Linked DNA regions of Sus scrofa. The protein of the gene in region 3 interacts with the protein of the main gene of each other region in a pairwise test. Links are inferred from orthologs where the notes say so. Each region holds a gene or a part of one and is shown on either strand. Other genes may lie near its edges. The genes, in order: KCTD13, TOX4 and ZMYND19.

Region 1 (3,649 bases), on a different chromosome or scaffold from region 3:
GGCTTCTCTCCTCCCTCTGCTCCTCCCAGCACAGGGGCCCAGATACCCAGCACTCGAGTCCTGCCTGCGAGTTCGGGGCCCAGCAGCTTCCTCTGGCCTTGGGGCCCGGCTAAGCAGGCTTCACAAAGGAAGCAGCAGCATTTGCTGAGCAAAGGCCAGCACGGCAGAGTGGCTACTGAGGCAGGCTCTGGAGCCACGCTGCCTCACCTGGCATCCTAGCTCCACCACTTTTTAATGGAGTGACGCGAAGCCAGTTACTTCACTTCTTGGTGCCTCAATTGGCTCACCTGTAAAATGGAGATCATGAAATCTCCTGACAACCGTGAGGGTTTTGTGAATAAATATAGGGAGAGCTATACTTCAACTCATGCCTGGTATAAACTAAGCACTAGGAAATGTGAGTTATTGTCATCTAATCCTTACCTGGACCCCAGTTAACTGAAGATAAAGCCGAAGCTCAGAAGGATTAAAAGAAGTAAAAGGAACTCGGCAAACGCAAACCAAAATGACCTGTCCCAAGTACCCGGTGGGTAAGCGGCAGAGCTGGAGTTTGCATCCGGGCAGGAACCTTTTCGTCCCTCTGTGTGGTTGTAACCCTCCCCCTGGGTCGGGAGCAGGGCTGAGCCCAGGATTCCACCCACTGCACCTCCCCGCCCCCACGGTCACCTGGTGTAGGAGTACTTGTTGTTACTGCGGTTGTGCAGGAGCTTCACCACGGGCTGTCGGGGGAGAGAGGATGGAGAAGGGTGGGGGGTCAGGCTGCAGGGACAGGCCCCCAGCCTCCACCCTGACAGGGCTCAGGGGCCTCACCTTGGAGGTGCTGGCCAGGAGCTGCTGCTCCTCCCGGGGAGATGTCACCGTGGGGATGAGGCACAGCGGGGACACGTTCTCCCTTTTTTGCTGGAGAAGAAGCGGAAGGTGATTAACAGCACGACCAAGGGGCACTCACTCCCCTACTTCCAAAGCTGCTTGTTGCCTTCGGGAAAAAGTCCAGACTCCTTAGTGGTCCACAGGGCTCTGCGGGATGCCAACGCTGGTCTCCTCTCTACCAGGCTCCCTTGCCTGCTGGGCTTCGGCCTCACCTGTCCCTTCACACATCCAGCTTGTGTCCACTGGGCCCTTTGCTGCTCCCACTGCCTGGCACGGTCTGCACTCAGTTGTTTGCATGGCTGGCCCCTCTCATGCCATTTAGATCCCAACTCAAACAGGATCCCTAGGAGGGTGCTGGTCCTCCTCCCTAAGCTCCCTGGCTAAGCAGCCTCCTCTACTGCTTCCTTTTCACATGATCAGTTCGCCTTCATGGCATGTAGTTCCTCATGTTTCCTTGTTTTTTCTTGGCGTATTTGCTATGATCTCTTCCCAGGGAATAAGTAGCTAGTATACAGTGGATGCGCAATAAGTTATCGGTTGAACGAGTGAACCAGGCTGCCTGGGAGGTTGGAGGGAGAATCAGAACTAGATACCTAGGTTTCTTTCCTCTTCTTTTAGAATCTTCACGCCAAAACCCCTCTTGCCTCGCCTAACCGAGATATGAGATATGCAATTCTTTTTCGTCTTTTTTTTTTTAATGGCTACACCCAAAGCATATATATGGAGGTTCCCAGGCTAGGGGTCAGATTGGAGCTGCAGCCGCTGGCCTACACCACAGCCACAGTAACACAGGATCCAAGCCGTGTCTGCAACCTACACCACAGCTCACGGCAACGCTGGATCCTTAACCCACTGAGCGAGGCCAGGGATTGAACCTGTGTCCTCACGGATGCTAGCCAGATTTGTTTTTGCTGAGCCACAATTGCCATTGCTCTCTAGATGTGCAATCCTAATATAAACTCCAAAAGATTTTTTTTTTTTTGGAAACTCCTAAGACTTTCTAAAATTAATATGGAAGAATAAATCTACCATTACTTAGGTTAATTTTTTTTTTCTTTTTACAGCCCCACCTGCGGCATATGGAGGTTCCCAGGCTAGGGGTCAACAATTGGAGCTGCAGCTGAGGCCTATGCCTCAGCCACAGCAACACTAGATCCTAGCTGCATCTGCGACTTACGCCACAGCTTGCAGCGATGCCAGATCTTTAACCCACTGATCCAGGCCAGGGATTGAACCTGCATCCTCATGGACACTATGTCAGGTTCTTAACCCACCAAGCCACAAGAGGAACTCCTCACGTCTATTTTTAAAAATAGTCAAACAAGAGAGACTGACTCTACCAGATATGAAGAGATCTTACAAAGCCATAATCATGACAACACTGCAGTTCTGGTGCAGGAACAAACAAACAAACAAAAACAACAAAAAACACACTAGAGAACTTGGAAACATACTAGTGTACACAAGAGAACTGGTATTTATAGAGAGAACATCACACATCAGTGGGGCAAGTGTGTCTTAGTTACTGTTGTGTAACAAACTGTCCCAAAACTGAACAGCTTAAAGCAATGACAAATACTTATTTTCTGTTTCTGTGGGTTAGGAGTTCAGGAGTGGCTTAGCTGAGTGCTTTTGGCATGGGGTCTCTCATGAGCTTAGTGTCAAGTCGGCTGAGGCTGCAGTAATCTGAAGGCACGTCTGGGTCTGGAGAATTTGTTTCTGAGAAAGCTTATTCATATGACTGGTAAATGCACGCTGGCTGTCAGCAGGAAATATTTGATCCCTGTCACTGAGGCCTTTCCATAGGGTTGTTTGAGTGTCCTCACAATATGGCAGCTGGCTTCTCCAGAGCAAATAATCCAAGACAGAGCAAGATGGAGACCTTACTGGTTTTTGTTGTTGTTTCTTTTTTTGGCCACCCCTGTGGCATGTGGAAGTTCCTGAGCCAGGGAGTGAATCCAGCTCCTGGAGCCACAGCACTGACGATGCCGGATCCTTAACCCTCTGAGCCACAAGAGGACTCTTATTGTCTTTTATGATCTAGTTTTGCTAGCCCTATTCAGTGTGGGAGGGAACACCACAAGGAAACAGGGATAACTGGGGACTCCCTTGGAGGCTGGTGCCCTAGTCCACTTTCTGGCTCCCATTGATTCATACTGTTTGCATATGCAAAACACACTCACCTTCTCCCAAGATCCTCCAAAGTCCCATCCCATTACAGCACTAAGTACAGAATCTCGTCATCTAAATCAGGTCTAGGTAGGGATGCTGCTCCTTGGGAGTAGCTCTTAACTACAGCTCCTTAAGTACATTTCCTCTGGATCTGAAGACCTGTGAACTCAAGAGACTTGTTATCTCATCCACACTCTCAGTATGCACTGGTGGACCAGGCATTGGGATAACCACTCTCGTTCAAAAGGTCAAGGGGGGCAGCAGGAAGCAGAGAAGTCAAAGTTCCTTCATAGAAATTCGATAATCCAGTTGGACAAAGGTTGGGAGCTCGCTGATGTCTAATCCTGTCCAGGAATCATTCTCTAGACCTGAGCCATCTTTCCTTCTCCATGAAAGACAGTCCATATTTGCAGCTCCATAGTTTCTTTAGATTTCTTTTCTTTCTTTCGTCATTTCTTGGGCCACTCCCAGGGCATATGGAGGTTCCCAGGCTAGGGGTCGAATTGGAGCTGTAGCTGCCAGCCTCCGCCAGAGCCACAGCAACACGGGATCCGAGCCCCATCTACAACTTACACCACAGCTCACGGCAACGCCGGATCCTTAACCC
Region 2 (3,649 bases), on a different chromosome or scaffold from region 3:
ACAGCTGAAACCTATGTCCCCTTCCTTTGAATTTGGGCTAGCTGTGAGTTGCTTTAACCATTAGGGTGTGGTTGAACTGACACAAAGATGTTGGGGGCATCAGTTTTTATTCTCTTGGAACATTATTTTAAGTCTGCCATAGTGTAAAGAAGTCAGTCTAGCCTACTGGAGGATGACAGAGAACCAAGGCATTTTTGACAATAGGTAGCACCAACTGCCAGATGTGGGAGCTAGGTCATCTTGACCAGCTATCAAATATTAGCTACCATTTGAGTACAACTGTAGATATGAGGCAAAAACACCAAGAAAACCACCCAACCAATTTGTAGAATCGTAAGAAATAATAAATTGCTACTGTCTTAAGCCATTAAATTTACTTGAGAAGTAGGTAACTGATATAAATTTTGTAGAATAAATTTATTGTAGAATAAATTCAGGTTTTTTTTGTTTTGTTTTTTTTTTCTTTTTTTGGTGCCTTGCCCCACATGGAGTTTGCAGGCCAGGGATCAGATCTGAGCTGCCCTTATGACCTATGCCGCAGCTGCAGATATGCCAGATCCTTTAACCCACTGTGCCAGGCCAGGGATCAAACCTGCATCCTGGGGCTGCAGAGATGCAGATCCCAGTGAGCCACAGTGGGAACTTCCAGTTTTTTGTTTTAATGATTAACAACTCACTGTGACATAAGACCTGGGGAGTTTTAGGGTAATGATAATTAAAACCATTCAATTTCAATTATATCTTACATAGTATCATAATTTTCATTCGTTTAATCCAGATTACATTTAGGGAAATTAATGATTTTTTTTTTTTTTTTTTTTTTTTTTTTTTTTTGCTATTTCTTGGGCCGCTCCCACGGTATATGGAGGTTCCCAAACTAGGGGTCCAATCGGAGCTATAGCCACTGGCCTATGCCAGAGCCACAGCAACTCGGGATCCGAGCTGCGTCTGCAACCTACACCACAGCTCACGGTAACGCCGGATCGTTAACCCACTGAGCAAGGGCAGGGATCGAACCTGCAACCTCATGGTTCCTAGTTGGATTCGTTAACCACTGCGCCACGACAGGAACTCCAAATGATATTTTTCAAGTTTATATGATGCCAATCAAAAAAATGTAAATCCAAACTTGGTTGTAGATTTTATTTTTTAATACCTTTTTTTCTTGACTGCTTGTAGTTTATGGAATTCCCAGGCCCATAAGATCTGAGCTACAGCTGTGATAAACACTGCGACTATAACACCAGGTCCTTAACCAACTGTGTCCAGCTGGGGATCAAACCTGCAACCTGGTGCTGCAGAGATGCCACAGCCCCCATTAAGCCACAGTGGGAACTCCAGTTGTAGATTTTATTTTTTTTGGCTGCCCCTGCAGCATGTGGAATTTCCTAGGATGGGATGGAACCCTCACCACATTAGTGACAAGGCTGGGTCCTTAACCCACTGTGCTACCAGGGAACTCCTGGTTATGGATTTTATAGTTAACTATAGCATGCAACCTACCGAAGCATAGCCTAATTTTACAGATGGAAAAGAAAGGGCTTAGAAAAGTTGGATTTAAAACAAAAAAAAAAAATACAGTGGGAAAAAAAAAATAAAATAAAATGGACTGCAGAAAAAAAAAAGTTGGATTTAGTGTTTTTATAATAACTAATTATCATACTAAATTATTTTACTAATTAATAATTTTTAGATGGGTATTCTGGATTCCATGTATGGCTACAACTTTTAAGACAAAGAATGATCTTGAATGCCATTAACAAAGAGTTTATATCAAATAAGAATTTGTAAAAAAGTTAAAACTTTTGCTTTTTTGGGCCACACCCGAGGCATATGGAGATTCCCAGGATAAAGGTCAAATTGAAGCTGTAGCTGCCAGCCTACGCCACAGCCACAGCAATGCAGGATCCGAGCCTCGTCTGTGACCTACACCACAGCTCACAGCAACACCGGATCCTTAACCCACTGAGTGAGGCCAGGGATTGAACCCGAAATCTCATGGTTCCTAGTCGGATTCGATTCCACTGTGCCACAATGGGAACTCTAAAAACTTAGTTTTTATCCCCTTGCTTCTTAGAGTATTCACTATCCCCTAGTTCTTCATTATTTGCTCACCTGCTTTTGCTCCTCTCCAAGACTGTCCCACATGGAGGCCACAATTTTTGAAACCTCCCCAAAAGTGGCATTGGGATTCTGTCCCTTGATGGCAGCTTGTGTGTCACGAAAGAACAAAGCATATGCTGAAACTGGTTTTTGAGGTTCATTAGGATCTTTCTTTTTTCTCTTCTTTGGAGCCTTCTGCTTTTTCCCTGCTTCCACCACAACTGTCTTCTGGCTGGGAAGTTGCTGTAGGGGAAAAAGAAAATTACAAGAAGAAGGGAAGTATTGTGTCTGCAGAACTTAAGAAATGGACTTTTAAATGGGGTAAATTAGTCACATGAATAGAATTTTCAGAAATGCTAAAAATAGAAGGAGTAAGATTAAGATATTAGTAAAGTATGTGAGGACCAGTAAGAATGGGGATTGGAAGGAGAAATGTAAATTATAAGTTGAGAGGTGGGACCCTAAACCCAGAAAAGATCAAAGGAGATGGCAGGACAGGAGTAAAGAATACTCAGTAGAATCTGTGGGGCAAGAGTTTCCCAGAATAACATGGCAGATTTGATTTTGGCAGGGAATGCCTCACCCTCCGGAATTCCTCAACACCATCCTCATGAAGTGAACTAGTAGGTGAAGGGGTGGTTGAAAGACGATCCTCAGGTGACTGGGCAGGTGGCAGGATGGTGCCACCCCCTAAGCTCAAACCAAGTTGAGAACTCAGTTCTGACTGATCAATGGTGGTCAACTGGCTATGCCCCATCAAGCCAGATGTCATGTCTGTCATTGGTACATCAATTGTAACAGGTGGGTTGGCGCTATACTGAGTTCCTATAGAATGATCCAAGTCCTGAGAGAAGCAGAAGGACTAATTATAAACACTAAATATAAAAGACACCACTCTCCCCCCCCCACCCAAATTCAGGACAGTTCATAAACTCTCTGCTTACCCAAGATGTATCACCGTTTAAACATCAAATAATTTATATACATATAAGACATACTAAGCTTTTTAATAAAATACAGAAATTACTAAAGTCACTTCTTTGTACACAAAGGGCTGTATCAAAATAACCAAAAGTAACCAAAGCAGTCTTAATTTTGGAAATGTTAATTTAAAGAGCAAGTAAATTACTCAGTAATTTGGGGATAGTGATGATACTCAGGGTAAAGAAAAATTCCCCCCCTGTACCTTCCTAAAACAGTGGCTGTTAAAAAGTTGCAATACACAAGCAATCAGAGTAAATAAGGCCAATGTTAGAGATGTTTGACATCGAGCAGAGTGTGTGATGTACCACTGATGGAATGTGCTAGAAGACAGTTTTTGTTTTGGGAGCCTGTGGCATGTGGAAAGTCCCAGCCCAGGGATCAAATCTGTGCCACAGCAGCAACCCGAGCCACTGCAGTGACAATGCTGGATCCTTAACCCTCTGCGCCACAAGGGACCTCCCAAACATATTTGAATCCATCCCTTAACATGGCAGCTATCACACTTACATTTGCAAGGCAGCTATGCTCACCACTATCACCAAGGCCACTCACTCTCACATTT
Region 3 (3,534 bases):
TGCTGTCTCCTGTTTCGCCAGCCTGTTCCCCAGGAGGACTCCAAGCTCTGCAGAAACTACCAAAAGCTCAGCTCATGGACCACAGGCTACCAAGGGGGCTGGCCTCAGCCAGGGAAGCAAGAACACACAGGGGATTCTGAAGATGGCAGAAGAGCTGCAAAAGGGGAAGTGTGGCAGGGGCCTGCGGGACCCACGTGGTGCCTGGCATGGCCCTCGATGGATGACCACAGCTGGCATGCCCAGCCTTCACTCTCCCTGCAAACCTGTAAGTTCCAGTCCATACAGCCTGGCTCTTGGCCCCCAGATGGCCATGCAAGGTGTACAAGATGCTGCCCAGTGCTCAGTGTTCTGTGGCTTCCAGGAAGGAGAGGGAGGCCTGGCCTGGGGGCCACGGCCCAGGCCAGGAAACAGCAAAGCTGTTGGCAGAGGCCCCACCTTGAGCCCCGACGCCCGCGCTTCTTGAGTCAAAGCGAGAGGGCACCAGTGGTGGCTGAGAAGAGTGCCGACCTCGGCAGCCACCCCCAGGCCTGGCCACAGCACAGGCTCCAGCCACACCCACGTCCACGGACGACCGGGGAGGAGGCGAGCAGAGAAGGGCACAGTCAGGGTCCCGGGTGTCCCACCCTTTACTTTGCCTTGTGCCAGGTCCCAGGCAGGCCGCCCTCCTCGACCCGGCTACCCGGAGAATTTGAGTGTTACAGCAAATGACACTATTTGTAATTTCTAACCCTGCCACGGCCTCCCCCCAGAAAAACTGTACATGAGTTTACAAACATATTAACATATAAATAATGAGAACTGTCCCTGCGGAGCCTCCCAGCGGTCTCTGCTCCAGCTCCAGGCGAGCGCGGGGGCGGGGCGGGGGCGGGGCCAGTGGCGCGGGGGCGGGGCTGGGCGGCTCCTCCAGTAGCTCTGGTCCAGCCATCAGCCTGGTCCACACCTCCCCGCGGAGATCCAGACACCGCGGCATCTCGGGCCTGAGGCGGCTCTGCTGCCCGGTCATCGGTCATCGCTCCGGCTCAAGCTCGTGCTGGAAGGGGCGCTTCTTCTCCCGACAGTGCTTCTTGTGCGCGGGCCAGTCCTTCTGCTGGCACTGGGAGCCACAGTAGCGCGCCACCTGGCAGCGCCCACAGATGTTGAACTCCCGGAGCTGAAAGGACACACAGGTCACGCTGGGGAGTCGGCTGTGGGGCACAGACTACGCGAGGACCCGGCAACCCCTGCACTGGGTGGAAGGGCCTGGGCCCCGGTCAGGCGGCGACAAAGGGACAGCCACCACAGCCGGGAAGCTGCAAAAGGGCAGCTCTAGGAGAGGCCTGGGGTCTGTAGGGACCAGACCCCGGGCAGGGCTGGGGCGGCCGGAGCCAGCTGCAGCGCACCTGCTTCTCAATCATCGTGCAGGGAGGGTAATGGCACTCGTAGTAGGTACAGGACGTCTCCTCCTCTTCCACCACGTCCCCGTTGGCATTGTAGTACCGGGTCACGTTCAGGACAGGGAACTGCTCCTCTATGGGGTCCGTGGGAAGCTGCTGAATCGCGAGCCAGTATAAGCTTTGCTCCCTTAAAGAGAGAGGCAGACGCGTCAGTACTCTTTGGCCAGAAAGAGCTGAGGCACGGAGGTGACAAGGACTGACTCCAGGGATGGACAAGAGGCTTGCTCATCTCAGGATGCCTCCCCCACATTCTGATTGGCAGCCCGACCTTCCTCTGGCCCACCCCGACGCCGGGACTTACTTCTCTGTAACCTCAACCGCAAAAAGGTACAGGGCAGGGCTGTGTCTGCCTCGCTGGTCAATCACCCCCACCCCTCGGACAGCCAGGCACACAACAGGTATGTAGATCATGTGGTCTCAGCCCCAGGCCCAGCCAAGCCTGCGCCCCCTGAGCAAGGCCAGGCAGCCTCTCTCCCTGCTGGTGGCCGCAAGAGCACTGGCCTCTGCACCTGGCTAAGCCGCCTCTGCTTCGGTGCCGCGTGCGGCTCTACATCTAACCGTGCATCTTGCTGGAGGAGCTCGAAGGTCACAACCGAAAAACTCTGCCTGATGCTCAAACTGAGGTGCCTGCACAGGCCTCGCAACAGGTACAGGAGAGGGGGGCAAACCCCAGGGAGGGAGCAGCTGGCCTTCCAAGGAAGCAGCACCCGCACCGTGATGGCCAAGGACCGGGTGAACCATCCCCTGCCCACCCTCCCTGGTGGCCAAGCCTGGAGGGACCTGGTTAAAAAGGAAGGGTCGCCCTCTTCGAACATCGCATACAAAAATGAACTCAGAATAGACTGAGGACCTAACAAAGACTCCAACTATAAAACACTCAGAAACATCAGACAAAGCTTCATGACGTCGGCTTTGGCAATGATCTTGGATATGACACCAAAGGCACAGCAAGGAAAGAAAAAGTAGACACAAGGAGTCCGTGAAAAATCCAAAAGTTCTGTGTATCGAAAGGCAATCAAAGGAGTTCCCTTCATGGCTCAGTGGTTAACGAACCCAACTAGGATCCACGAGGATGCAGGTTTGGTCCCTGGCCTCACTCTGTGGGTTAAGGATCCAGCGTTGCTGTGAGCTGTGGTGCAGGCTGCAGACACGGCTTGGATCTGGCATTGCTGTGGCTGTGGTGTAGGGAACTTTCATGTCGCAGGTGCAGCCCTTTAAAAAAAAAAAAAAAAAAAAAAAAGGCAACCAATAGGCTGAAAAGGCGACCTACACAATGGGAGGGGGGAATCATCTGCACATCATCTAGCTGATGAGAGACTCAAGTCTAGAATATATAAAGAACTCTACAACTCAATTAAAACCTAAAAGTTTCCTGGTGGCACCGTGGATCCGGTGTTGTCACTGCTGTAGCACAGGTTCTATCCCTGGCCCCGAAACTTCTGCATGCTGCAGGTGTGGCAAATAAATAAATAAATAAGTAAAAATGGGTAGGAATTCCCACATAGTGCACCAGGATTGGAGCATCTCTGCAGCACTAGGACACAGGTTCAATCCCTGGCCCGGCACAGTGGGTTGCCAGAGTTGCAGCTCAGACCTGATCCTGGCCTAGGAGCTCCATGTGCTGCGCAGCGGCCAAAAAAGAAAAAAATGCTCAGCATCACTGATCATCAGTCAAATGCAGGTCAAAACTATGGGGCGTTCCCCGGTGGCACAGGGACTGAGGATCTGCCATCATCACTGCTGTGGCTCAGGTCACTGCTGTGGCGTGGGTTTGATCCCTGGCCTCGAAACTTCCACGTGCCACCGCATAACCAAAACACAGTAAAAAAAACTCCCCAATGAGACCACCCGACACTCAGGAGATGGCTACTAGCAACTGAACAGAAAGCAAGTGTTGGCGAGGATGTGGAGACACTGGAGCCTCTGCACCGCCGGAGGGAAGTGAAACAGTGCAGATGCCTGGGAAAGCAGCACGGGGGCTCCTCCAAACACTAAACACACAGCCATCACACGGCTCAGCAGTTCCACTTCGGGGCACACACTGAGAGAAGCAAAAGCAGGGACTCGGAAGAGCTGTTCACACAACTGTGTTCGCAGGCGC

What was found.
Region 1: the proteins of ZMYND19 (region 3) and KCTD13 interact in binary tests that used the Homo sapiens proteins (3 or more experiments, as listed by UniProt). The two-hybrid records come from large-scale screens. The link is inferred for Sus scrofa from reciprocal best matches to the Homo sapiens genes ZMYND19 and KCTD13.
Region 2: the proteins of ZMYND19 (region 3) and TOX4 interact in binary tests that used the Homo sapiens proteins (3 or more experiments, as listed by UniProt). The two-hybrid records come from large-scale screens. The link is inferred for Sus scrofa from reciprocal best matches to the Homo sapiens genes ZMYND19 and TOX4.

Annotation. Positions count from the first base shown.
Region 1 is NC_010445.4:18,127,981-18,131,629, forward strand, and holds part of KCTD13 (BTB/POZ domain-containing adapter for CUL3-mediated RhoA degradation protein 1), read right to left. Parts: intron 901-3,649; coding exon 811-900; intron 720-810; coding exon 667-719; intron 1-666. UniProt on the Homo sapiens protein: Substrate-specific adapter of a BCR (BTB-CUL3-RBX1) E3 ubiquitin-protein ligase complex required for synaptic transmission.
Region 2 is NC_010449.5:77,685,379-77,689,027, forward strand, and holds part of TOX4 (TOX high mobility group box family member 4), read right to left. Parts: intron 2,948-3,649; coding exon 2,687-2,947; intron 2,347-2,686; coding exon 2,116-2,346; intron 1-2,115. UniProt on the Homo sapiens protein: Transcription factor that modulates cell fate reprogramming from the somatic state to the pluripotent and neuronal fate. In liver, controls the expression of hormone-regulated gluconeogenic genes such as G6PC1 and PCK1.
Region 3 is NW_018084833.1:414,921-418,454, reverse strand, and holds the end of ZMYND19 (zinc finger MYND domain-containing protein 19), read right to left. Parts: intron 1,561-3,534; coding exon 1,380-1,560; intron 1,151-1,379; coding exon 1,007-1,150; 3' UTR 609-1,006; downstream 1-608. UniProt on the Homo sapiens protein: May be involved as a regulatory molecule in GPR24/MCH-R1 signaling.